Linked DNA regions of Cricetulus griseus. The protein of the gene in region 2 purifies or fractionates together with the protein of the main gene of each other region. This does not show direct contact. Links are inferred from orthologs where the notes say so. Each region holds a gene or a part of one and is shown on either strand. Other genes may lie near its edges.

The links.
Region 1: the proteins of Tnks1bp1 (region 2) and Cnot6 purify together in Homo sapiens (affinity purification with mass spectrometry; 3 studies listed by BioGRID and IntAct, with this or other methods). This does not show direct contact. The link is inferred for Cricetulus griseus from reciprocal best matches to the Homo sapiens genes TNKS1BP1 and CNOT6.
Region 3: the proteins of Tnks1bp1 (region 2) and CCR4-NOT transcription complex subunit 2 purify together in Homo sapiens (affinity purification with mass spectrometry; 5 studies listed by BioGRID and IntAct, with this or other methods). This does not show direct contact. The link is inferred for Cricetulus griseus from reciprocal best matches to the Homo sapiens genes TNKS1BP1 and CNOT2.
Region 4: the proteins of Tnks1bp1 (region 2) and Capzb purify together in Homo sapiens (co-immunoprecipitation; 5 studies listed by BioGRID and IntAct, with this or other methods). This does not show direct contact. The link is inferred for Cricetulus griseus from reciprocal best matches to the Homo sapiens genes TNKS1BP1 and CAPZB.
Region 5: the proteins of Tnks1bp1 (region 2) and Fhl2 purify together in Homo sapiens (affinity purification with mass spectrometry; 3 studies listed by BioGRID and IntAct, with this or other methods). This does not show direct contact. The link is inferred for Cricetulus griseus from reciprocal best matches to the Homo sapiens genes TNKS1BP1 and FHL2.
Region 6: the proteins of Tnks1bp1 (region 2) and Cnot6l purify together in Homo sapiens (affinity purification with mass spectrometry; 4 studies listed by BioGRID and IntAct, with this or other methods). This does not show direct contact. The link is inferred for Cricetulus griseus from reciprocal best matches to the Homo sapiens genes TNKS1BP1 and CNOT6L.
Region 7: the proteins of Tnks1bp1 (region 2) and Cnot10 purify together in Homo sapiens (affinity purification with mass spectrometry; 4 studies listed by BioGRID and IntAct, with this or other methods). This does not show direct contact. The link is inferred for Cricetulus griseus from reciprocal best matches to the Homo sapiens genes TNKS1BP1 and CNOT10.

Annotation. Positions count from the first base shown.
Region 1 is NC_048600.1:64,155,617-64,159,767, forward strand, and holds the start of Cnot6 (CCR4-NOT transcription complex subunit 6), read right to left. Parts: upstream 2,801-4,151; 5' UTR 2,430-2,800; intron 1-2,429. UniProt on the Homo sapiens protein: Poly(A) nuclease with 3'-5' RNase activity.
Region 2 is NC_048599.1:90,486,593-90,490,721, reverse strand, and holds the start of Tnks1bp1 (182 kDa tankyrase-1-binding protein), read left to right. Parts: upstream 1-1,329; 5' UTR 1,330-1,461; intron 1,462-1,971; exon of another isoform or gene 1,972-2,355; intron 2,356-3,731; exon of another isoform or gene 3,732-3,884; intron 3,885-4,129. Other genes in the region: FACT complex subunit SSRP1, read left to right, coding at 1-54.
Region 3 is NW_023276806.1:139,747,295-139,750,794, reverse strand, and holds part of CCR4-NOT transcription complex subunit 2, read right to left. Parts: intron 961-3,500; coding exon 835-960; intron 1-834. UniProt on the Homo sapiens protein: Component of the CCR4-NOT complex which is one of the major cellular mRNA deadenylases and is linked to various cellular processes including bulk mRNA degradation, miRNA-mediated repression, translational repression during translational initiation and general transcription regulation.
Region 4 is NC_048595.1:14,047,072-14,050,571, reverse strand, and holds part of Capzb (F-actin-capping protein subunit beta), read left to right. Parts: intron 1-2,898; coding exon 2,899-3,012; intron 3,013-3,500. UniProt on the Homo sapiens protein: F-actin-capping proteins bind in a Ca(2+)-independent manner to the fast growing ends of actin filaments (barbed end) thereby blocking the exchange of subunits at these ends.
Region 5 is NW_023276807.1:5,338,962-5,342,910, reverse strand, and holds the start of Fhl2 (four and a half LIM domains protein 2), read right to left. Parts: upstream 2,801-3,949; 5' UTR 2,490-2,800; intron 1-2,489. UniProt on the Homo sapiens protein: May function as a molecular transmitter linking various signaling pathways to transcriptional regulation. Negatively regulates the transcriptional repressor E4F1 and may function in cell growth.
Region 6 is NW_023276807.1:158,440,508-158,444,007, reverse strand, and holds part of Cnot6l (CCR4-NOT transcription complex subunit 6-like), read left to right. Parts: intron 1-2,802; coding exon 2,803-3,030; intron 3,031-3,500. UniProt on the Homo sapiens protein: Has 3'-5' poly(A) exoribonuclease activity for synthetic poly(A) RNA substrate.
Region 7 is NC_048597.1:221,684,002-221,687,501, forward strand, and holds part of Cnot10 (CCR4-NOT transcription complex subunit 10), read right to left. Parts: intron 2,735-3,500; coding exon 2,592-2,734; intron 1,678-2,591; coding exon 1,591-1,677; intron 872-1,590; coding exon 788-871; intron 1-787. UniProt on the Homo sapiens protein: Component of the CCR4-NOT complex which is one of the major cellular mRNA deadenylases and is linked to various cellular processes including bulk mRNA degradation, miRNA-mediated repression, translational repression during translational initiation and general transcription regulation.

The DNA.
Region 1 (4,151 bases), on a different chromosome or scaffold from region 2:
CACAACCTCCATAAATTTAATCATTCTGCTGTTCCTTGAAGTACTTTGTGCACCCATTACTCCTACGAAGGACAGGAAAGTAGAAACCGAATATGGTCACCTCTGAACTTTCATCAACTACCTCAGGACCATCACATGCTATTCCTGTATGTGCAACTTATCAGAAAAATATAAATGGACAAAAGAAAAGTAAAACCCAGAGGGTAAAAGGCAGCCCGAATGAGCCTCCATCTTGGACTCAAATGACCATTCTTTTCTTCTTTAATTACTTATTCAAACACCAAACTCAAACTCTACTGCATTCCACTGTACTCAAATGCACATGTAGTTAGATTATACTTGGGTTTAGTCTGCACTTAACTTACATGTAGTGTTTATTAGTCACATTTCATTATAACAAGGTTACCTCCACAGCCTGATAACAGGCACAATTAAAGCAAAAAGATTTTGTAGAAACTAAAGTTTGAAAACATTAAAACCAGAACTTTCTTCTCCACAACAAATACCACTACATATTTATAATAGAAATCTTAAGTATACATTTTTAGATGAATATATGTGGGCATTCTCAAAAGTGACAAAACATCTAAGCCAGAGTTTCCTAACCAGAAGATCTTGCACATAGGAGAGGGTTGCAAACGAACTGAAGATTTTACTCTCTCATCACACAAGGGCCAAAAAATACAACTATAAGCTGCTTCAACCATTATTCCAGTATCTTACACAGATTACCTTTCTGGGCTGCACTGTATAAAAAACTTAGTTGTGGTACTGCACACCTTTAATCTCAGCACTCCAGAGACAAAGACAGGAAGGCCCACAAGGACTACATAGAGATCTTTTTTTCTTTTAAAGTTAACATGGGTACAGTAGATGCCTAAACATTAACCAAAATACTAGTTAAAATTACATGTATAATATCTGTTCAAAAAAAGAAAAGAAAAAAAAAAAAAAGCCTGAAATTTCCCAGCAACCAGAAACATCTGAAGTTACACACGGACTGACTTCCAAGGAGACATCTCCAGTCACACAAGAAAAATGGCTTTTTGTCACATACATTTTGTCCATGTTAGCAAGCACCTTGTGCACTTACTAAGAAATGGCCACATTGATCTACCTCAAACAGTATCTATTGGCTAAAACCCTTTCTTCTCAAAAAAAAAAAAAAATACTTAATAATTATACCGCAATTACATGTCTTCACAAATACAGAAAGCCTGATGTTTACCCTCACTCACTGCAATACCTTGGTCGAGTCATCTTATTCTTTCTAGGGTTCGGTTTCCTCATGGGCAGCGTAAGACTAGACCACTAGTTCCATGTAATTTTAACTCTAAAGTTTATTCTAGAAAGCATCAAATTCAAAAGGCTGGCAGCAATTACAAAAAGCAAAATATGTCTTCACAACCTTTTGCCTACAGAATTGCTGTGGAATGAATGGTGGAGAATTCTAGGGAACTGTGGAAAACGGTGCTATTACACACCAAATTGGTTTTCGCTTAATTCGTAGTCCCTCTCTTCTCCAAACAATCCCAAACAGAGGCAACAAAGAACTTAGCCCTAGCAATAATCCGGCAGTCTACCTGCAAAACAGGTTTGCCTGTACTCAAATTCAAGCAGATTATTTAAACACAGTAACAAGACGTTGTTCACAATGTTGTCACTTGCAGTTAACAGTTAAAAGCAACGATTACAGTTGCTTGTGAGCAGACTCCGAAGACTATGTCAAAGCAGAAAGAGTCAAAGGGGGGAAGCCGGCGGGGGAGGGGGGGAATGTTACCAAAGAAAATAACCACTGGCGTTCAAACATGAAAAGTCTAGGTTCGCTTTAGTTAAACTCGGGAAAATTTCTTCAAGGAATTAGTACTCGAGTCCTGAGTCCAATAATCTCTACATCTGATAATTACGTCTTTGGCCACGTAATCCGCTCCGCCCTAACAGTAAATATCTGCGTTAAAATGACTTATTTAAAATACTCGAGGAAGGAAAAGGTGAGCGCTAAGTTTGTCCACGGAGTGCCAAGTTCCACGCCGCACAGTGCGCCACCCCACACAACCACTTCACCGAAGTTGCCACCGGTCTTGGCCCGGAGTCCCGGGACACCAGCTCCTTCCTCTCCAGATGCGCATGGCCAGAACCGGGGGTCCGAGAAGCTCAGGCCCACGCCACCGCCTCTGTACGCCACCACACTGCCGTCAATCAACACCCCCACCCCCGGCCGAGCCCCGGGACTCCGCGCGGGGGCGCGGCCCGGGGACCGACGGGATCGTGACTGCGGCGTCCAGGAGGGGGACCGGCAGACGTCACTCCGAGAACTACTAAGTTGTGTGTGAGTGCGCGCTCGAGGTCCCCAGGGCACGGCCCCCGGGGGATGGGAGAGCGCAGGCAGCCGAGCCTCGGCGGGACTTCGCAGAGCCCGTCGCGCTCACCTCTCGAGCTGCGCCGCCTTCCTCCGCCGCTGCCGCCGCCTCCTCCCGGTGAGTGCAGCGGGGTCTGCCCTGTGGAACCACCATACCAGTCCCGCCCGCTGCTGCAGCGCCGCCGCCGCTCCTCAGCCGCCTCAGCCGCCGCTCTTTGTTCCCCCCTCAGGCGCCGCTCCTCAGCCGCCCGCCTCGGCCGCCCGGACCCCACGAGCCGCCGCTACGCTCTGCCGCCCTCTCGGCCCCCGGCCTCGCCCTCCTCGCCCGCGCCGCCGCCGCCTTCGCCTCCGCGCCGTCGACGCCGCCGCCACCGACGCCGACGCCTCCTCTTCCGCGCCCCCCTCGTTTTCATTGAAAGCAAACAAGCATCATGGCGGCGGCCGCCGTCCCCCTCCCACCCCAGCCAGCGAGAGCCCCGCTCACCGCCGCCTTGCCAACATCCTGGCTTCCCATTGGAGGATACTGCTGGGCGCGACCATTTCGCGTCAGGCAGGGGGGTGGATCTTCGTCTCCGTTCCCCCGCGTCGCGGAGCAGTGAGCCGGCCCGGCGCGCTCCTGCCCGCCCGCCCTGCCTCTCTTCCCGCTCTCTTTGCGCCTAGCCTTCTCCACGCCTACTGTCTCCTCCTCTTCCTAACACCGTCCTAACGCCGTTTCAGCTGCTCCCTATTCCCTTCTCGCTCACTTTTATCTCCACTTTCCCCTTGATTTTTCCTCCTCTCCATTCACTTTTCTTTTCCTTGACCTGTCAATCACTTGGAAGCACAGATAAGCACTCAGACTTTTAACCTATCCAGTGTCTTGATCTGCCCAGAGACAAAACGTTCAATCTTGAATACTCGACTCATTGTTTCTGCCCTAACTATGCAGAAAAAAAAAAAAAATAATCAGTAGGAGTTTTTGATGATAAAGTCCTAGTTTTAAGTAACGAACCATAGCCGCATTCAAAGGCTAACACAGTCTTATCTCTTCTGGGTTATTACCTGCAGACGGTGGTTGCAGGTAAACCAGGAAAGAAACGGGCTGACTAATGATGTTTACGTCAGGAAATAATAGTTGACTGGTATTTTGGGCTCAGGGATTAATCAGACTCCACCTTGTCTTGAGTCAGCGTTGCATAGTGTATGGGCAAGAGTAATATCCGGCAGACAAACTGCACTGGCTATGCAGGATATAGTGTGAAGGAAAATAGCTGCCCCCTACCTCGTGCCAAATCAGCCCAAAAGATATGAATGTCAAATGGTTTCCAGAAACTAACAAGGAAAAAATAAATAAATGCTTGTCCCTCACCGAAGTCTGTAGGAAATGGGTGGCTATTGCCTGAGGCAGAGAGAGCTGGGAGAGCAAAGCTCCCAGGGACAAAGGCTCTTCCAAGAACCAGATGTTCTGTTCAAATCAAACAGTTTGTGTTTGCATGGCTCCAGCATTGCCTTGAGATGATCATTGTATGCCATCTGCCAGGATAGCAGTGCCAGTCTAGGCCTTTAGTGCAATGGGTCCCTACACAAAGTTAAGGCAATGCAAGCACCCAGCATACATGAAGAATTAGTAAGAACAGATGCATACTACCTACCTGAAGATATTTCTCCATAACCTCCAAGCCTGATCTACTCAAGTTATTCAGTGCATATTTTATACAAAGGGTGCCAGACTGAGGGGCCACTCATTCTGCTGGGCCACTCCCATTCCAATGCTGTATCCTGGTAACCTGTGCTCCAGCCTAAAGAAGAGAGT
Region 2 (4,129 bases):
CTAGCCAGCACTCCTCCAAGCTCAGAGGACTCTGCCTCAGGATCTGATGAGTAGAGGAAGAAAATTCTTGTCCTTGCCCTGTCACATCTCCAGGCTTTCTACATAGTTCTTGGACTCTGTGCCATCTGAGTAACTGCTCCTGGTGGCTTCCACTTCTCTGAGGCAGGCATCAAGGGAAACATCTAACCTCAGCTGCTTTGCAAGAATGGCTCCTTGTAATCTGGGGAAAGACTGGGTAGGAGTGCATTCTGTCTGCTCACAGTGCGTTGAAGGATCTAAGTCCTCGGCTCACTTGCCCGACTGTAGGGATAAAGCTGCTTCCTGTCTTATTCAAGTGGCTGCATCAGGGGTCATGTGAAGTCAGGCCTGTAGCTCCTAATAGGGGCCTATTTCTACTTTTATTTTGTATTTCTGGTCTGTGAAGTCAATTTAATAAATGGAACTGACTTTGGAAACCATGTCCTTATGTCTCCTTTCCCACTTTACATGTGGTGTTTACCCTTCTATCCGGACTCTGCAGGGCCCTCCTGCCCAGCTGGGAAGCAAGTCTTGAAGCACATCCTGTCCTTCCTGGCTGGACAAGCATTGGTTTTCACCCTTGTCTGTGAACAATGCCACCTGAGAGTCAAGAAATGAGTGCTGATCTGATTAGGAAGCCTCTCAGAGTTCCACTCCATTAGCCAGCACAGGGGTGGGAGTCGGAGGGGGCGGGGTTCTCAGCTCCATCCTTAATCACTTTAGGAGACAAGGGTCTTATAAGGCTTGAGGTAATAGAATGAGGATCGACTTTCTAGTGCAGGGAGTGGAAACCTGAGTCAGGAGGATGAGTAGTGTGTGAGTGAAGTTAAGTGTGTGAAGGGAGGGCTACAAAATTTCATGTTTGGGAAGTGTATCTAAGAGAGCTCTTAAACAGATAACACGAGGGAAAAAGCTACTCCACTTTCTACTGTGGCTTTCAATCTGAATTTATACACGACGGGTGGCCACGTCGCTTGCGCTCCCAGGAAGACTCAGGTGTAACAGGAAGCCTGTTCAGTCCGCCAGCGGTTCCCTTCGTGCTGCCCGCGCTCTATGGTGCTGTAATCAGTGTAGGCTTAGGGAAAGCAGTCCAGAGCGGTTTCCTCTCTAGGCAGTCATCTCGGTGGCGCTGGGGTAAAATTGCGTCAGTTTCGCCTAAGTCTGAATCAGGACCGGCTCCTCATTTACAAGGTCATGAATAATTATGTGCGAGCTGTGCTTGTTTGCATCTCGTGGGCCGGACTCTGTTTCAGCTTCGGCTTCCCTCTCACGGATTCTTATATGAATATTCATGAACGGCATGGAGGCGTGTCCCTGGGCGGGGCTATGGGAGGGGCCCCGGGGCTTGCACTGGCTCGGTCCCGCGGTGACGGTGGCGGCAGCGGCAGCAGCGGTCACTGGCGTCGGGGTGCCTAGCCGAACGGAGCCCGTCCCGGGGAGCGCGTGAGTGTGCGGCGACGGCCGGAGGGGGCGGGGTCCGGGGATGGGGGCGGGGAAGGGCATGGAAAGAACCGGGCGCCTAGCAGTCCCGACCTCAGATTGGGGCGGCGGCGATGGTGGTGGGGGGGTCACTAGGAAAGTTTGCGAGGGCCTGGGGACGCGGGGGCGCTGCGGAGCTGGAGCGTGTGTGCGGGGGTGGAGAGCACTCGTGCCGGGAGCCAGAAGAAAGCGGGGAGAGGCGAGGGTGGGGCGGGGCCGGGCCGGGGGCGGGCGGAGCTACTCGAGGGACCCCCCCCTCCTGCCTTCACCGGCCCTCTTCCTCAACTCTCATGGCACGCCCCCAGCCACCCCAGGCCGCCCTCACAGTCCTCCTCGCCAGTCCTCGGTCTGTTCCTTCGCGGGCTGCTTGGCATCTCTCACTGTCCCCGCTGCTGCCGCCCCCTCCTCCTCCACCCTCATCTGCTCCTCCTCTTCGCCTGGCCGCTCGATGTCCGTAAGCTCCCCACGGAGGCCCTCCAAACAGCCCCTTGCCCTGGGCTGTTCCGCCTTCCTGTTGGCCCTCCCTCTTCCAACACTTAACCCTCCTGGTCGCACTAGTCGCACATTCAGCAGGAGACCTTTAGGGACGACCCTGCCGGCCCTTAGGGTGCCTGCCTGCCCAGGACTGAGGCTGCCTAGTGCCTTCCCATCCTTTGGGGGCAGCCTTTACTCCCAAGGCTGTCTGGTTTCCCTAGACCATTAAGGGTGCGGAGTTCTTGAGGCACTGCGATTCTGCAGCTTGAGGCCATGGCCTTGGTTTCCTGGGGCTCCTGGCTGGGGCCTCTCTACTGTAGCCACCTCCTCTGTCTTCATCTCTGCAGCCCCTTATAACCTCAGAGGTGTCCATCAAGCCCACAGGTGAGAGGATTTTTTTTTCTAGACTAGTTTTTCTTCATTTCTAACCACCCACACCATATCCCTTGTAATAATGTTCAAGGACAAGGAAGCAATCTTGTGTATTTTTAATTTTATTTTTTCCTGTCACCCCCTCCCCCCCCACACACGTTATTCTCCCACGCACAGCCCGTGGTAATTGGCTGATCAGAGATTGACATTGTCACAGTTTCTCTCCATACCCTCTTCGAAATAAGCTGGGACAGGGTCAAGGGGATGGGGATGCCTTTTGCAAAGACTGGGCACCACAGGTCGTTTTTAGCATTGAGAGCTATCTTCTCAGACCAGTTGGAGTGGGAAAGGGACTTTGAGGTTGCAACACAGTGAGGGTTGGGTTGCCCCTCCAGGGTTGTGTGCATTCCGTGTGTTAGGCAGCTTCTCCCTTGCTTTTGAACCTCAGGGGCAGTGCTTGCTATTCATCAGGTAGCAGAGCCTGAGGGGGCCTTGTGGGTGGGAGGGTGCATCAGCACCCAGGGTGGGAACTGAGGAGGTGGAGTGCCTGAAGAACTGATGACTTGGGGTCATGAAGGACTGGTCTAGGAATGCAGCCTAGGGTAGGGGGAGAGTTATAGGTGGTTACCAAGGATGTTAGTTAGCTCATTAGTGACTCCGAATGTAGTCACATTAATAGTGGCCAACTGTTACTTATCACTTCCATGCTTGGTATTTTGCATGCATTATTTGGCTTGAAACTCAAGTCTTAATACCCCATTTTTCAGATAGGGAAAAGTCACACAGCTTTAAAATGGTAGACCCACTTAGCTGTTAAATCTGTTAATATCAGATTCAGAAGCTCATGTGACAGGCTACTACTATGTGGCTGTCATCTGGTTTAATTTCTTCTGGTCCCTCAAAACTCCTTCTGGCCGTTTCCAGGCTAGTGATCCACACATATTCCTATTTCACAGTCTATGCAGGTCCCTCCCTGACTGTCCTGGAAGGCTGGACCCTGAGGAGTTTTCCTCCAAGTCAAGCCTCCCACCCCCACCCCCCGCCCCCCAATCAAGTCCAGTCTGTCCTCTCCCTGCCCATCCTGGGCCGGCTCCTCCTTCCCTTTGGCTAGGCCCTGGAAATCCAGTGGGAGGCCATTGCTATGGTAACAGGACTAGGCCCTGGCTTTACCTCATCAAATTCCAAGCTGAAGCCAAAACGATTGAGAAATTAAAGGAAAAAAATGTATTCCAGATGTTTACTTTTTATTTCTTATTTCCCCGTGTTTGGATGAGACAGCTCTGAGAGAAGGAGGAGGGGGCAGGGATGTGAAAGGAGAATGGGGAGAAGGGGGTAGGGAGCCACTCCCAGCCCATAGAGGGAGGGAGGAGACTGGGAAGGGGGGGGCGGCAGTGGGGCGGAGCCCCAGGTCGGGGAGGAGCGGGTTTTTCCCGTCTCCCATGAGGTGATTCCCGAGACTTGAGACTTTCCGGCCCTCTTACCCCGCCTGGAGTGGATACCTCTAGTGGGGCTGCCTGACCAAGAAGGGTGTCTTGGGAACTGTAAGTAGGGTGTCACAGGAGGGTGCTTGGGGATGTTGTGAGTGAGGTGGCTCTCATGCTCCAGATCTCTGAGGTTCAGAGCCAAGAGTTGGAGAGTTGTAGCAAGGATGTGGCTGTGGGGTCCTTCCCCACCCCGCCTGTGGGGACCTCCCCGACCTCCTCCTGGAGTTCTCTCTTCCTGTCCCACACAGCCTGGGTTAGAAATAGACTTCCTTGGCTAAGCCTGTTGACTCGCCCAGCTCTTT
Region 3 (3,500 bases), on a different chromosome or scaffold from region 2:
TCTAAATTTTTATGTCTACACTGTTATTGTGTATGGTTCTCCCCTAACATCTTTATTCAGATCTACTAGTTAAATAATTTACTAGAGACTACAAAAAGAATAATTAGGACTGGAGAGATGGCTCAGAGGTTAAGAGCCCTGACTGCTCTTCTGGAACATAGGCAGAACACTGTATATGTGATAAATAAATCTTTAAGAAAAAACAAAAAAGAATAATTAGGGCTACTTATAAGGGTCGAGAACAAAATCATAAGCACTGGTTCTCAAGAGGGACTATCTTTACAAGAGAACATTTGCTAATGTCTAGAAACGGTGTGTCACAATGTATGGTGCTGGCATGTAGGCTAAAGCTAGAAATGTACTAAATATTCTGTATGAACAAGATGCCCCCACACCACATGCTTTCTGAAAAGAATTATCCAGGCCGTTGTCAACAGTGTGAATCTAGAGAAACCTTCACTTAGAGAAACACCCCAATCCAGAAGTCACTACTAATCACTAGGGATATATTCACTTGAAAAATGTGGGGTCAACTAAGAAAAGCCAAACCACAAAAATAATCACTTGTATCAAACTAAAGTATGGAGAACAGAAGAAATAATTTCTGAATATCAATGAAGTCAAGTATTTAGGTTTCTATACAAAATTTCACCACTGAATTTTGTTATCATGGATATATGGGAAAAAAGTTTTCAAATATGAATTTTCAAATTTGAAAAAAAAGTTTTCAAAATAACACTAGCCTGATTTGATAACATAAACACACAGAGAGACACGTATGTGTGCATACACGACTGTAACTTTCAATCAGCTACCACTAAAAATCTTAATTACCGTAAGGTGCTCTTCCAGCCAAGGGGTTTATTAACGGAGTTGGGTTACCACTTCCTTCCCTTCTATTTCGGTCTGCTAATGCTGGGAAATCTGAAAGGTCCAATCCTGTCACATTTTCACTGCCATCTAAACGATAAGAAACAATAATCATTACTGATTTCACCAACATTGAAAATGAGATTATAAAAATTAAATTATAATTTGAAACAACAGTGTCTTCTTCCTTAATAATGCAGAGTGGTGTAACAGGTGTATAACAGTGGTAAGATACTATGGACTGGTTTTCTGTCATGGAATTTCCTAACAACTAAGGAAAGCAATATGCAGCCAGCTCCTTAACATACCTAATTCTAGAGATTTAATACAAAGAATAAAGAGTGTGGTTGTACATTATTTCCCCCAACAGAAAGGGAGATAAAAAGATTACAATTTGCTAGGGAACAAGAAGTAGACTGTTTAGATATAACTGCTTTTTTCATTAAATCTAGATTACCTAGAGCTTCAACAGTAAGATATGATATTACCTCTTACAAATGTCCAGAAAGACTCTGAGACAAATAGTGCACAGAGAACCCCTGAGGACTTCTGTCTTATACACTATTAGTTTGAGATAAAAATGTGTACACATGTATGTATATGTTAGCTATATGCAAGGACGAACTCCTCCTATGTCTCAGGAGCAGGTGGGGAACATAGGAATGACCAAAACCTAGAAGTTTATATTACCTGTTACACAGTAGGCGCTCAATAAATATACTGAATAAAGATTTTATGCATTTTGAATTAGACTGCCACCATTAGAAATAAACATTTAACCTAACTTCCGTATTTTGCCTATTTTAGTAGTTTTTCCTCTCAACTTTGAGTGTTCTTAACCTTGAATTCTAATTTTGAATCACTTAATTTTTCTACCTAAAATTTGCCCTATACTATAATTTTTCTTTAATCTATGTTTCTCCTTGTTTTATAAACATTATAGTTTTGGGGCCACTTTCTAATTAATTCTGATTTTTCTCAAAATTTTTCAATTAAAAGGATATCAACTACTATCTATCCTAATATTAACTTGGCTAATAAAAAGACTTTATTAACACACCAAGGAAGGTAATAATTTAAAACTACAAGGGTAAAGGTAAACCATTTCATACAAATTATTTTAAAAACATTTATAAATTTTCCATTAAATGCAATATGGATAAAGCAAAAGTGGTGAAAATTTTTACTGTTTTAATTTATAAAGTATATTTCTCAAATTATGGTTATTAATTATAATTTTTCTCCAAGTAAAAATTAACTTCTAATATTCATCCTTAAGTCTTCCAATGTCCAATTTAAAATGTTCATGTATTAGGTGAGAATATAATTTAACCAGCAATTTATAATGTCCCAAATGTAAACTTAGGGAAAATCTTGAAAGTAATTTCTCCAGTATAAAACCTAAGAATATAAAAATTCTGAAACTGAGCCTGGGGTTGGTGGCGCGCACCTTTAATCCCAGCACTCGGAAGGCAGAGGCAGGTGGATCTCTGTGAGTCCGAGGCCTGCCTGGTCTCCAGAGTGAGTGCCAGGATAGGCTCCAAAGCTACACAGAGAAACCCTGTCTTGAAAAACAAAACAAAACAAAAAAACCCCTGAAACTTCAAAGCAGTGTATAAAAACATCATTCAGTTGAAATGTGAGTAGCCTTTCACAATGATTTCACATCTTAAGTATGAAAAAGTGTACACCTTAAAAGCAATGACGTATACAACTTTGTTGTAAGAACTACAAAGTTGGTATGTTTTAAAAATCACACCCAGAAAACTTTAATATTTAAATGCTTAAAATCTTCCATTCCTTTCAGTGGTTTTAATCTTGGCTGATCCACTTCAGCGGTTCAACAAACCACCTCAACACTGAGAAGTCAAAAGCCTATTGCTACCAATGCTTCCTGTCAAGTCTCCTGTCATGTATGATGCATGTTCTACTGCAGAATGTCCTTTCACCTGCCACCTTCACCTATGTGCCACCCAACAGCCCTGCTTCTCTGCCCCTTCAATATGGCAACAACCCTTCTTTTCATCGACAAAGGACAGAGGCAAAGCCACCAACACTGCCACTCCCTGTTTTCCTCTGCCTGAGCAGACTTTAGTTTTTGCCAAAAATCAAGTTTGTTTCCAGTAGCTTAATCAAATAAATAATAATGGGTCAAAATTTGTAAGGGTTAAATGTGAAAACTTTTCTTAAAGCTATTTTGAAAATGGCAAATGCTCCCTATGGAGGACTCTCTTCAATCTGAGTCTCTATAATCAGAAATGTCTTGTCACCAACTCAGTCACTCTTGTTCTCAGTGACAAGGCCAAGGACAGGAAAAGTTTTGAAGAAAAAAAAACAAAAACCAACAACAACAACAGCAAAACAAGATTCTGAGGCAGATATAGACTAAATTAGTATTTACTCTCTTTATATATTAAAAAAAGTAATTGATGTTACAACACAAAATACTACATTACAAGGCCAAGCTGGGGCAGGGGATCATTTAAATTGTCTCTACTGCTTAGCTTAGTCCTATCCCTGGCAGTTTTTCACTATTTAAAACAGTCAAACCTGTTAATGTTTAAGAGACCAGTATGTTAAACTGCTTGTATTTCAGAACTCTACTGTACTTTAGTAGGGTACTAGCTCCA
Region 4 (3,500 bases), on a different chromosome or scaffold from region 2:
TAAAGAGAACAGGACAAGAGAGGGAGAGGCAGAGGGGGTAGCCAGGGTGTAGGTGGAATTTTCTGTTCTGCCAGCTAGCTCCCAGATAACCACAGAGACTTATTAATTATAAATGCTTGCCCAATAGCTTAGGCTTGTTACTAACTATTACAACTTAAATTAACTCGTTTCTTTTTTTCTTTTTTTAAGATTTTATTTATTATGTATACAGTCTTGTGCCTGCACGCCAGCAGAGGGCACCAGATCTCATTCAGGGTGGTTGTGAGCCACCATGTGGGTGCTGGGAATTGAACTCAGAACCTCTGGAAGAACAGTCAGTGCTCTTAACCGCTGAGTCATCTCCCCAGCCCCTAACTCATGTTTCTTATCTACATTCTATCACGTGGCTTGGTACCTTTCTTCAACACAGCTTCTCCCTGAGTGTCCTGGCAACTACACCCTTCTTCACCCCAGTGCTCTCTCCCTGTCCACAAGTCTCGCCCAACACTTTCCTACCTAGATATTGGCCATTTAGGGGAGTGCCCTGAAAGTGACAAACAACCCTGTGGTAGGCCAAGGGAGCACATGGCCACAGAAAAAAACCCTCACCAGGTTCAGTTAGGGCTTCCTGGGAGTCTTGTCAGTGCTGTTTCTGAACACACCAGGTAAGGTCGCTGCTATGCTGGAGCTCAGGGAAAGACAAAATGAAGTCCCGGCTTGTGTGCCCCTCCCACTAGGGCGTCATCCCTTCCTGGGCACCCTGCAGGCCCCACTACAGCTCCAGGGGGCTCTAGGGACCAAGGCCTCACGGGGGAGCAGAGGGGGTAAGGAGAGAGCTTGACTTCCCTCTCCCTTTCTGGATCTGAAACTTCAAGGTCCTCTGATTTTCTCCACACATTTCCATCCTGTGTTTGATCGTTTGCTTAAATAAGATCCGTATGACACGGCTGCTGCCAGCAGCACTGCTTGAAACCTGTTAGCTGAAACAAAAAGCCTTCTGGGGAAATGAAAGGCCTGACTTTTGAAATCTAAGCATTCCTGTCCATCTGTCTTTTCTCAAATGGCCTCCATTTAAGCTCTTAAATGTGTTCTGAGTGCCCCTTCCACTAAGAATATTCTGGGTAATGTTATGATTTTTTTTCCCCCAGCTACAATTACCCCGGCTCCAGGCCTAACGGCTTGAAATGCCGTCGTCTGTGAGGCAGGAGGACCACTTAACAGGCTTCTTACACTTCAGGCCCCAGTCTGCATGGGATGGGTGATTGTGTCCTAGCAGGTTGCTTAGATTTTTAACCACATTTATCCCCCCCCCACTCTGTGTGTGTGTGTGTGTGTGTGTGTGTGTGTGTGTGTGTGTGTGTGTGTACATGTGTACATGTGTACATGTGTACATGTGTACATGTGCACACACTCGAGGTCAGAACCTAAAGGTTTTCTCCTTGCACCATGTGGGTTTCAGGTATTGAACTCAGGTCATCAGGCTTGTCAGCAAGTGTCACCTTGCAGGTCCAGGTTGTCTTTCAAAAAGAGTAAAAGGCTGGGTCTTCTGTGCCCATGTGAAGGCGATGGTGGGGGGAGGGGGGAGGGGGGGAGATGTGGACTCACCCTGCTTACAGATATGTCAGGGATTCTCAGAGGAAGCAGGGTTGGGGGGAGGTCCAGCTCATAGTTGGTTCTTGCACACTGTCCCCCAGTAGAAGAGCCAAACCTCGCTGACTAGTAAGTAGTGGCAGCTGCCAGCACCCTTCAGCTGTCCTCTGAGATCTGAGGAAAGATGCCTTTCTGTGTGTCCGCCCTTCCTTCCTTCCTTCCTTCCTTTCTTCCTTCCTTCCTTCCTTCCTTCCTTCCTTCCTTCCTTCCTTCCTTCCTCTTCCTCTTCTTCTTCCTCTTCCTCTTCGTCTTTCTTTCCCTTTTTCCCTTGTTTTGTTGTATTTGGAGATAGGGCCTCGTTAGATAGCTCAGGCTAGACTCAAGCTTGATCTTCCTGTACCTCTTACAGCTGCCAAGACTGCAAGCATGTAATGTCACCCTAGCTCCATCCCTGTCTGTTGGCCCGAAGGACCCTGCAGAGTTTGTCAGGTGCCACAACGGCCCCTTCATCAAAGACTCAAGCTAGTTCTGGTCTTGGGGTAGCCCAGGCTGTTCCCCCTTCTCCATCAGTCCTTAGGTCTTCAGTCTGTTGGTAGGGGTGGGCAGGCTTGAGCTTGGAAAGGATATTTCTTGTTTGGGAATTGAGCCTGAGGACTTATCATGGACAGGTTTCTTTGTGTGGGCAAGCACATTCGCAGCCCCCTTCCCCCCCCACACACTCCTTTGGAAACTAGCAAGGAGACCTTCTTAAAATGCCTCCCATTGCTCTTGGTGATCTAATGTTCTCCTGGTGTGGGAAAAGGTGCTTTTCAAAGCAGCAGGTTGGGGCCTGGTTCTCTTTACTTCCTGTGTGCTTAGCCCTGTGTGCTGGGTTCATTGACTGTGTTCCCTAAGGAGCGAGGCACCTCCTGCCTGCTTCTCTAACTGACAGCAATCTTCTTCATACTTATAGTCTGAGGAGCCTCCAGAAAGTCAGGGAGACATGGGCACTGGCTGACCACTTTGATGGTGAACACAGGGAAACACTGGTATTTGTGGCCACGGCACTTGCCATTCTTTCTATCTGTTCCTCAAAACAGCCCAAGGGTAGTGAATGGTAGCCTTGTTTCCCACAGGAGAAAGTGAGGTTGCAGCTAAGGTGTTTGCTGGTGTTAACAGCTGCATTTAGCCTGTCTGCTGACATCTGACCCTTTGCTCTATAAGCCTCTCCAGAAAACTTCTTGGTGACTTGGCCCCTGAACTTGAGGCAGCTGAGCTTGGACCCTCTGTTTACAGGCCAGGGGACTCGGAATGATTCACAGGACCATCTCCTACTTTGCTACCTTCCAGGTCACCGTGGAGTAACAAGTATGATCCTCCTTTGGAAGATGGGGCCATGCCTTCTGCTCGACTGAGAAAGCTGGAGGTGGAGGCCAACAATGCCTTCGACCAATACCGAGACCTGTGAGTTACTCTGCACATTAGCTCTCGGGGCTTTCATGGGGGGAAATCTTCTGTGAGAGCGTGACTAAGCTGAGCAGCCTCCCTGCTCTGCTGCCTGGTCTCCTAACTTGCTAAAGTCGGAGCCACCTGAGGCAGACATGACCATATTATTCTGTTACCATTCACAATAGTGGCAGGTGAGTCGGGAGAGCACATATGTGTTTACAGGGCATGTTTACACAGGGCATGTGTTTTGCGTTCCCACTGTCTCAGGTCCTCTCAAATGAATAGCTATTTCAGTGGGAGTAAAGTGTCGGATGCTACAGTGGTGCAGTCACCACATAGCGCTCACACAGAGAGAATGAGGAAGTTTGTCCAAGGCAGGGGCAAAGCTAAGACTCACACATGGGTGATCACTCACAAATACGCAGTTAAGATACAGTCTCTCTCTGTAGCTTGGGCAAACTGAGTTTGTGATCATGTGTGGAGATTACAGGTGTATGAGAACA
Region 5 (3,949 bases), on a different chromosome or scaffold from region 2:
AGTAGAAGTTACCGGGGTTCATGAATGGTGTGTCCAACTCAAGCCCTCTGTAAGTACTCCTAGCTGATGGACCAGCTCTCTAACCTCTAGACTTCACTCCCTACCTCCCAACATTTACCCAAGGATGACCAAGCTTCCAACACAAGAGTCTTGAAGAAAAATCATATCTGAACCACAGCTGCTTACAAATGGCTAAGCTGGTGTGTGGTAGTTTATATTAGAGTGATCCTTGTGGGCTCATATGTTCGAATGCTTAGCCACCAGGAAGTGGAATTCTCCGAAGGATTAGAAGGATTAGGAGGTGTGGTCTTGATGGAGGAAGTGTGTTGCTAAGGGTAGGCTTTGAGGTTTCAAAAGCCCATGCCAGACTCAGCCCCATTTTTCTTCCTGCTACTTGTGGATCATAAAATAGAACTTTCAGCTACGTCTCCAGCATAAGTCTGCCTGAGTGCCACCATGCTCTCTGCTGTGACAGTGACAGTAATGGACTAAGCCTCTGAAACTGTAACCAGCCCTCTACTAAATGCTCTCTTTTATAAGAGTTGCCTTGGTCGTGGTGTCTTCTCACAACAATAGAACAGTGACTTGGACGTGGTGTGTTAGGTGCTGGGTAGCCAGCCCTCTGTGCAGAACAGGGGGAGAATCCACTCCTCTTGGCTTTCTGAATTTTTTTCTTCTATATCCTGCTACGCATTTCTCTCTGAAGTTGAGATAGTGCTTAGTATTGAAGGCATTTAACAGTCTTAGGTAAAAACATGCCGCATAGGGCCTCAACAAAATATTCATACAGTGAGGCCCAGTACAGAGTAGAAATCTCCAGATACAGCTCTCAGGGCTACAATCTACATACTGGGAAACTTTGGACATCAGAGTTACTTCGACCATTCTGTTTCAGTTTTCTTATCTGTGAACAAGAGGCTATAAAATCTACATATGCTGCATATAATATGCAGGATATATATGCATCTATATACACACATATGTGTATATATGTATGCTGGGAAAGCGTCTTTGTTATCTGATTCTCTCGGAGGAAACTGAGCAACCAATAGATTTTGTGAATTAGGCAAGGCCATGTGGGCTAAGAGGTCCCAGTGTTAATTCTGGCATCTTGGTTCTGTTCCAGGTGCATCTGCCAACCAAGCTTTCTACACCTATCCATGTTGTATCTGTTAGGCCGGACAGCAAGGAGGTAGAACAAAGAGAAGCCAGGATGGGGGCCACCAATGCAACACACTATTCTGTTAAAAACTAGGAGAGAGATGAATCTGAAAAAAAGAGTGAGAAAAATGACTGTTTTAAATTTGGTTTTATTGACCTTTAGGTAATGGGTTGGGAACTCTAAGCCTTAGGGCAAATTGGGTTTTTTTGTGGGAGGGAGAGGGGGGCTTGAGGAATTCGTGGTCATTCCTGTAATTGCAACACTTTGGAGGCTGAGGCAGGAGGATAGGCACCAGTGTGAGTTCACCTGAGATGGCATGGTAAACTCCAGGCTTTCCCAGCTACAGAGTAAGGATTTATCTCAAACGATAACCACAGTAACACTACCACAAGCAACCTTCCTCACATACATTACTGCAAAATATACATATAAGCAGAGCAACACCACGACATGACACACATTTAGAGTAGTGTTTTGAAGACAATCTCATCATGACTGTAAGCCCAAATTGTAGTTCATTACTTCCTAAAAATATGTGCAAGAAAGTGCACGCCACAAGTTGGCTTTGCCAAAGACAGCTGCATATTTCATAAAATGCCTGCTTCGGTGAGTTCCAGAGACACAACTGGAGACTATCAAGCAAATACGACCAATGCTTCATTTAAAACCAGAAACAGCATTGAAGCGTTTCTTTCCACAAGACATCACAAGACTGCAATCTATCAGTTAGAATTCTGTTCATTTCAAAGCGTTATTATTATTATTTTTCTTTAACCCTATGGCTCAGGTTTTAATTTTGTGGATGAGTCAAGATGTGTGGTCACAGGCAAACTCCCATTTCTTCCCAAGGGAAATGCCTGGCCATCCACGTGCTGACCAGCGTGTCACCTCCCTTCCATAGACTTCAGAGACCAGTTCCACTTTGCCTCTGGGGGAGACTCATCGTCTCTCACCACCTGGCGGCGACTCACTCCTCTAGGGCTGTAGCCCTCTCTCTGGACACCAATGGTCCCCTTCCCCACCATTCCCAAGTCAGACTCTCCTGTGCTCGGGTCCCTAGCACTCATGATTCTAGTCCTCTCTGCCCCGCATCCGCTCTTCCTGTAGATCAACTCCCCGGTTCTGAGGTCTCCCCTTCAAGACTCCCCTTCTTCTCTCATGTTTCCGGTCCACCGTCTCCATGACTCTCCGTATCCCCTCCTTCCCCTTCATTTCGAGTCCCCTTTCTGAGTATCCCCTGCCCAGCTAGGCTCTCCTCTCCCCGGATCTACGCTCTCCGTTTTAGGTCCCCATCCCTGGTGTCCTCTGCAAAACAGGGCTCTCCTACCTCCAGGATCTGTTCCTCCCGTTTTGGGTCCCTACAGGGGTGCGGTCTGCACAGCCCTGCTCGGGTCTGCCGGGTCTCCGCCCCACGGTCAGGGTACGCTGGCCACCGGTGTCTCTCCACGCGTGCTAGGGCAGCTGTCTGCTGGCTATTCTTGTGTACCAGGTCCGGCTGTGGACTGGGCGGCGGCAGGAGTACTCGCGCAAGACGGGGCCGGGGTCTAGGGCACTCAGAGGACTGTTGCGCGGTGGTGGTGGCGGCGGCGGCGGCTCAGCAGGCGGAGTGCAGCCGGCTCGGCTCCCGCCCTCGAGAACCCCCGCCGAGTCATTTGACCATATAAGGACACACGCGCAGGGGCGGCGGGCTGGGCGCGCGGGCCAAGGGAGCAGGGCGCGGTGGCGAGCGCCCCTCGATCGCCTGTCGTCGCGTGTTCCCCCCTGCTGCAGCTGCTGCGGACCCTTTGTTTGACTTAACGTTCTTCTTTACTTCCCGGTGTGTGGCGCACAGAGTCAAGCCTCCCTGCGCCCTGGCCTCCGCTCCAGGGGCCAGTGGCAGTGCAGTGCAGAGGGTTGTGGCCGCTGTCACCTAAGGGCAGAATGACATGGGTCTATTCTCACCAGGACCCTCCTCTGGGTTGCTGGGTCTGCGCCTGGTCGCCGTCTGGGCAAGCATGGGTGGGCCATTTGGAGATTTGGGGGAGGAACGATGTGTGCGTAGGGCATGCACTGGCATGGTAGTTTCCCCGGCCTTCCCTTGCAAATACCTCTCCGTGGTGGAATGAACCCAACCAATGACGTAAAGAATCTTTAATGACTCTGTTCCACCAGGTAGCTGACTGAGAGAAGGTTGAGAGCTGTTTAGCTGTTGACATTCAGTGGCTCCATGCAGGCAGAAAGCAAATGAAGGGCTTAATGTGTCCTTCATGCTCAAAGCCAAGGTCTTCTGCACAGAGCTGGCCCTTAGTAGGGACAGGAGGCAATGTCCAACATGGTGGTGGAAGGTACCCGCATCCCCACGTCTAGGAAGGGCAGCATCTGCTCTTGAGTAGGTGGGGGGCCCACATGCAGTGGCAGAGGCAAGGACTTCTCAGTGCTGTAACCTGACCAACAACTTAATGGAAGGATTCGTTTGGCTGCAGGGTTTATGAAGGAATACAGCTGGTCATCACTGAGATGGCATGGCCACTGTGAGAATGTCAAGTTGGTTGGTCACATTGCCTTCTCAGTCAGGAAACAGTTTAATTTCCCCTTTTCATCCAGTCTGAGAGGCCAGCTCTTGAGAGGTGCTGTCCACATTTGGGGGTCAGTCTTTGCCCCTCGGTTAAACCTCTCTGGAACTGCCCTCAAAGAGGTGTGTCTCCTAGGGGTTCCCAAGTTCAGCCAATCGACTGAAGGACCATCACAATGGTTTTGGGTGTAGGCATTCTCCAGGGGAGCTCGGGGTAACATATGTTAGAGAAGGCA
Region 6 (3,500 bases), on a different chromosome or scaffold from region 2:
TTTTTATCATTATTTTTACTTAACAAGGTAATACCTGCCTTTTTAACATACCATTAATTGAATAAGTTCTTTGATGTTTAGTTAGGCTGAATTAGAAGTTACCATGGCTTAGTCCTCTCTTGTGAATGTGAACCCTTTGTTTTTAATATGAAATAGTTGGCTTGTTTTCTTTAATTTCTTTGTTAAATTTCAAGTCTTTGTCAGGGTGAGAATGACATATTTTCTATGTGATACTTCCAGGGTTTTTAGATTATTCATAGCTTCCTTGAGAGTCAGAAATCTGTTGTGTGCTTGGCATTATTAAGATCTTTTGTTAGCCTCTCTCCTGCCTGCCTCAGAGCACTTTATTACTTATTAATGTTGCAGGCAAGAACAAGGTGGTAAGATGACATCAGTGCACTTCTCTCCCTGTGCTGCCTGTGGAAGAAAAGGCTGTCTTGAGTACTAGTTTGAATTATTCAGACTATACATATTGTTAAATTTCCCTTTTTTTCCTACAGTTCTTCAGTTTATCTGTTGTTAAACAAAAACAGCCTTTAATGTGAAATTTCATGTTTACTTTTTGTTTTTAGCCTTTTCAATATTTTTATGTATTTTTCCTATCACTTTCTTCCTGGTATATTTTGTTCTGCTTTTATAGAAATATACACCTTTGGGGTTTATCCCTTTTTAATTTATAGAAGAGTAATTCTGAATTACTTACTGCACACTTCTACTTCCTAAGATACATCCCTTATCCCTCTAGAAGGGGAATTTGGTGGGTAGGAGCAAATAGCTTTTTGGGGACATGTTTTTAATATTTAACATAGTAAACATTCACTTATAGCCATAAGTGACACTAAAACTTCTAGGAAAATGAGACAGCTTAGAAAAAAAATGTAAATTATTCCTTCAGTTTCATGTAACAGGTACTTTATTAATTTATTTTCTCAATGTTGAAGAAAATTAAATATAGTAAGATTGGAAGGAAGAATAATTTTACCTAAATATCAGACTTAGAAATTTGTCTTTTTTCTTTAGAGTTTCTATTTCAGTAGAAAAATCTGAGATATTCTTGTAGAAAACTTAGGTTTGCATGTTAACTGATACTTTAATAGTTCACAAGTATATAAACTTAAAAAGCAATAAGTTCCTGTGTCAGTCACACTCTAGAAATCTCCTCCTACTCATTTCTTTTTATGAATCCAAACATCTGAAATATGTGTATATAGATTTATGTTAAGTGACATTATACCATTAATATTTAATTTTATGCCTTGACTGTTTTAGGGTCATCTTTCGCCAGCACCTATTAAGTTTTCTTTTCACAATTTGTATTTAATATTATTACTTACCATGTCCACCTTTTGAAAAGTACTATGTTGATGTTTGACAGAATTTTAGGGAAAAAAGAATATATATATAGCTGAATTATCGTTTTACAAATTATTCGAGTATCAAAAACATTAAGTGGTTGACTACCCTGAATTCACACAAAGTAATTAGTAGTAAAAGCAGGTCAAAGATGAAAGTATCCAGACTTTTGAGAGCACATAATTCTCTGATTTTTGTTTTGAGGGTCATGGCTGCGTATGTGCCCAATATACATGCCTGGTACACATGGGAGCCAGAAGGGGTGTTGGATCTACTGGAAGTAGAGTTGCAGGTAGTTGTGAGCAGTCTGATGTCAGTGATAGAAACCAAATTCTGGTCCTCTTCAAGAGCAGCAAGTGCTCTTAAGCTCTGAGCCTTTATCCAGTCCCACAGTTTCCATTTTAAAATTAACTGGGGTCAGCTGAGGTGGCGCATGCCTTTAATTAATACCAGCACTCGGGAGACAGAGGTAGCCCAATCTCTGTGAGTTTGAGGACAGCCTGGTCTACATAGTGAGTTCCAGGACAGCCAGGGCTACACAGAGAAACCCTGACTTCAAAAATTAAAATAAGTAAATAAACTTTGAGGATTCAGTTGGGTAACAAATGTGCTTCCTTATTTCATTTTCTGTAGGTTCATATAATGTTACTAATTTTTCCTACTGACCTTTCACTATTAAGCTAGTGAAATGCAACACAGGTAACATATTATGTAGTGGCAAGATATTAAGTATTGGTTAATTCAGTTGGAAAAATCTCTCACTAGATTATTATGCTAATTAAATAAGAGGCACTTAAAAGTGCTTGCTTGGTACTAGAGAGGTGGCTTAGCAGTTAAGAGCATTCATTTTTCCAGAGGACTGGAATTTGGTTCCTAATAGCTGCATTGGGTGGCTCACAACCACCTTTAATTTCAGATACAAGAAATCCTGGTCTCTACAGGCACTATATTCATGTACCGACCTCATATTCCGATACATATACACACATCATTTAAAATTAAAATAACTTGTTTGCTTTAAGCTAAGAACTCAGCAGATGAATAGTACTATAACCCATATATTCATTATATTATGAAATAATTTCTAGTATAAACATGTACTATAATTGTTGATACTAAATATTTTAGGTTCTGTGGACCACATAGAGTCTGTTTGAAAAGTGTAAAACTACCTTTAGCTCACAAAGCCTGTAATAGAAATATGTAGTGGACCCAGGTTTATTCCATAGGCTGCCATTTGTTAACATGACCCTGATGAATAACTAATATATTGCAATTTCCAGAATTACCTTTTAGCTTGTCAGATAAGTGCAAGATAAAAATCAGTTTAAATTAATAGGAAAGAGTAAAGAAGTAGCAATGGATATTTTTCAGAGAACTTTTAAGGTACTACTCTCAAGAAACATAAACATAACTCTACATTTTCTTTTTTATGATGTTTAAATTTAGGTATGAAGCCTATTCATGCTGCAGACAAACAGCTGCTTATAGTGGCAAATGCCCACATGCATTGGGACCCAGAGTATTCTGATGTGAAACTTATTCAGACCATGATGTTTGTCTCAGAGGTTAAAAACATTCTGGAGAAAGCCTCAAGTAGGCCTGGCAGCCCAACCGCAGATCCTAATTCCATCCCGCTGGTGCTATGTGCAGATCTTAACTCATTGCCAGATTCAGGTATTTACAACATCATTTTTTTTACTTGCTTTCAGTTTTGCTTCTAATTTTGGTTGAAAGGCCACCTATCTCCTAACAGGGCTTTCTCTTCTAAATTAAAGAACATATCAATTGGAATTTGAGGGCTGAGACTGTGACTAATTGAAAAAATTTAATAAGGAGACTGATTCCAAAGGAGTGTTCAGTCTTAAGTAAAAAAAAAAAAAACAAAAACAAAAAAAAACAATGATTGCTTTTGTACTTTACCACTCCTACTCCTAACTGGGAAAATGGTGGGAGCTGTCATCAGAAATTGGAAGTATACAAGAGAGCCAATAATTGAGGTGATGGCTTAGAATTGAATGATTCAATCAGTGCCTGCCAGATTATAATAAGAAGGGAGATGTGGGAAGATAAACCCTTCTCTCACTCTTGCTCTGATCTGCCAGGGCTCCCCATTAATCAAGTCTAGATAGAAGCTATAGGGGTAG
Region 7 (3,500 bases), on a different chromosome or scaffold from region 2:
TCCCCAACCGTTCTCATTTCTCAGGATTCAAGCTCACCTTTCACTAATACCCAATAACCAGGTGTTCTTCCAAGTATGAAAGGAAGAATTTTCAGACAGCAAGTTTTGCTTGTAGGCAGTAATATCTCTCTTCCAAAATTCTTGTTTTGGATTTCAGATCACTCTCCTGAAATCTTCAAGAGTGCAAATGCACACAGAGGTCTGGACACTACTGTGAAAATCTCCCACCCAGCAATTACTCGCTAGCTTATAAACATGCTCGCCTTCTACAGTCTAGCTCTTTCTCTCTCTGCTCAGCCTTCTCTTGACCCAGAGGTCTTCTGCTCACTAAGAATTAGAATCTCAGGGATTATTCTAGGTGGAGAAACTTCCAAGTCAAGATTAATGGCCTCATGTATAAGCAGTAAACTGCACAGCACTTAACAATGTATTTAATTTACTTAGGGTTTTTTGAAGAGTTTCCCTGTGCTGGGATTAAAGGTGTATGCTGGCCACCAATTTTTAAAAACAAGATTTATTTATGTGTATGTGCATAGGCACAGGGGCTTGTGCAAGTGTGCAGACCTCTCCCTGTTCTGCTGAGACAGGCTCTCCCTGAACCTGAAGCCTGTGTTTTCAATGGCAGGCTAGAAGCCAGCTAGCCCAGAATCTTCCTTTCCCCTCAGAACTTGGGTTAGCGGCATGTGCTCTACCAGTAAGTCACCCCATCACTGAGAACTGACAAACCTCAGTCTAAATATGAGAGTCGCAAGCTGACAGCCCTGAGGAAAGCCCAGGAGGAACTTACATTTCCAGCCGTGTTCATGACAGACTTGATTTCCCGTTTGCAAGCCTTCAGGGACTTCATCTGGATGTACGCTCTGACTTTGTACTGTCAGGGAGGAACGGAGGCACGTAAGAGGTGGGTCACTTACACACGCTCAAGCTCTGCTTCCCAGAGCAGGACGGTAAATCTCATCTGCTTACAACGCAGTCAAATGCCAGTTTCATCCAAATGCAACTTAAAAATGATCTTAAGTATTGTTTTCCTTTTCTTTTGTGTGGCGCTGGGGATAGAATCTAAGGTGTTGTGCATCATAGGCAATCATTATACTCCCGAGCCAAAAACCTACAAATCCAAATTTGCATGAAACAATTTATCTTATCTGTATAATTTTAAAATTCCATATATTGACTTATCATATATTCTAGGTTATTTCTTTTTTTTAATTTATTTACTTATTTTTATTCCATATACAGTGTTCTGTCTGCATATTTGCCTGCACACCAGAAGAGGGCACCATCTTATGATAGATGGTTGTGAGCTACCATGTGGTTGCTGGGGATTGAACTCAGGACCTCTGGAAGAACAGTCCAGTGCTCTTAACCTCTGAGCCATCTCTCCAGCCCTCTAGGTTATTTCAAAGTTCTATACAGTGACTTAAAGAAGTTATACTGTATGTATGTGTATGTAAAGCAAAATGTATTTACAGGAAAAACTATACTTCTAAACTACATCCTTCCAACCCGAGTAAATGCACCGCCTTGAATTAGTGTCTATGTGCCTCTCACACAGCTTCCATGCATGTCCACCCTTTGAGCATACACTACCTGGTGTATCTTGGACTTTGCAGCCTCTATTAGAGCTCCACTCTCAGCCTTAGGATTAGATCCATCCTTGTTGCTATTATTGCCAGTCTGTACAATAGTGAAACAAAATCAAATAGTTGTAACCATACTGATTTCCAAATGAGCTAAGTACAAAGTGTCCAAATCAAGTATCCAGAGGCCATTTTCAAATTGAACCTGCTGCAGAGCCTACTCCCAGGGACTGAGGATCAGTACGGCATTCCTGACAGGAGGAGAAGAGCATAGCTATGGACCAATTTTAAAATCACAAGTGCCCCTCAGACTATGCCTCTAAAACCCAAGACAGGCTGTCTTTTTCTGCCCTCCTCCTGTGTGATTACCCTGACAGCACCACTGAGCCCTACTTTCCCTGAGGAAGCCTCAATCCTTCACCTTCCTTCTGCACAGACCCACCTTCTCTCTAGTGTGCTTGCCTGGCTGCTCCCCACATCTCAGACACATCAGGACCACTGTTCACACCCTTTGTGCTGTCTCTTCTACCACGAGTTACTCTACTCCATCCCTCCTTTTCTGACTCGTCAGACTGAATATTCAAATCAAACACACGAGTCCTAGAAACTTCTCTCATTTTCTTTCTTTCCACCCATGAACTCACTGTACTCCATCCATCCCTTCCCTGCAGAGGGCCCCGGGGACAAGGATTGCAGTGTTTCTACCGTCCTTAGATTAGAACCTATCACACATATACACCAAATATGGAAAAGAAATACTATACAACACAAACTTTAGGAAAAATGCTAAAAGCACTCTGCTGGAATCTCTTAATACACTTGTTGGAGCTAAACAAATGTAAGCCATGCAAGTGTTTAAAATGAAAAGTTTTAAGAGGCAAGCTTACAAGGCTTGGACGGACAGCACAGTTCCTGTGAATCACACCTCCAGAAAGCTGCTAGGATACCATGTCTCATGTGACAGACATGGGTCACACCTTCTAAGTCTCAGTCTGATGGCTGGGAACTCACCTCATTCTTTCCGTTTTTGCTGCTGCTGCCCTGTGAGATCATTTTTTCTAGGACAGCAAGAAGATGCAGAGCTTTCTCAGCTTGGTGGGTTAATATATACAAGTCTACAAGCAGAAAGCACACTGCTTGGGCAAATTTTTCTTCTGGCAAAACAAACAAACAAACAAACAAACAGAAAAAGTTACACTTCAAGGTAGAGCAGTATTTTAGGGCAGTTACTGTCCTCTGTATAACACCCCAGTGGGTAGGTACTTTGTTCAGATGCACAAAATGTACATCAGAAGTAAATCCTAATGTGAGCTACAGACTCTGTGGGACTGTAAAGTGTCAGTGTGGCTCATCCACTGTAAGATACGCACTGATACTTACCAACGAGGACAGCTGTTATGGGGAGTTACGGATGTTGATGGGGAGGGCGGTAGGAAACGGCTCAATTTTGCTACGAACCCCAAACTGCTTAGAATAAAACCAAACAAAACACCCAACCAGCAAAAGTAAAAAACTAGCGGCACGTGACGGTGCACGCCTTTCATCCCAGCACTCAGGAGAGGCAGGCAGATCTCAGAGTTCCAGGTCAGGGTGATCTCCATACTGAGTTCCAGGACAGCCAGGACTGCACGGTAAGATCCTTTCTCAAAAATAAAACAAGGGGCTCGAAGGTTAAGAAATCTCGCTGCTCTTCCAGAGGACCCAAGTTCCAAGTACCCACATCAGGCAACTTACAACAGCAGCCTGTAACTACAGCTCAAGGGGACCCAATGCCTGTAACTACAGGGGACCAATGCCTCTGACTTCCAGGCCTCTGCATTCATGTGCACACAGACACACACAGACATACCCCAACACATATAATTTAAAAAATACTTAAAATAGAAACAAACCTTTTAAATAGAAAAATTAAGGAAACCA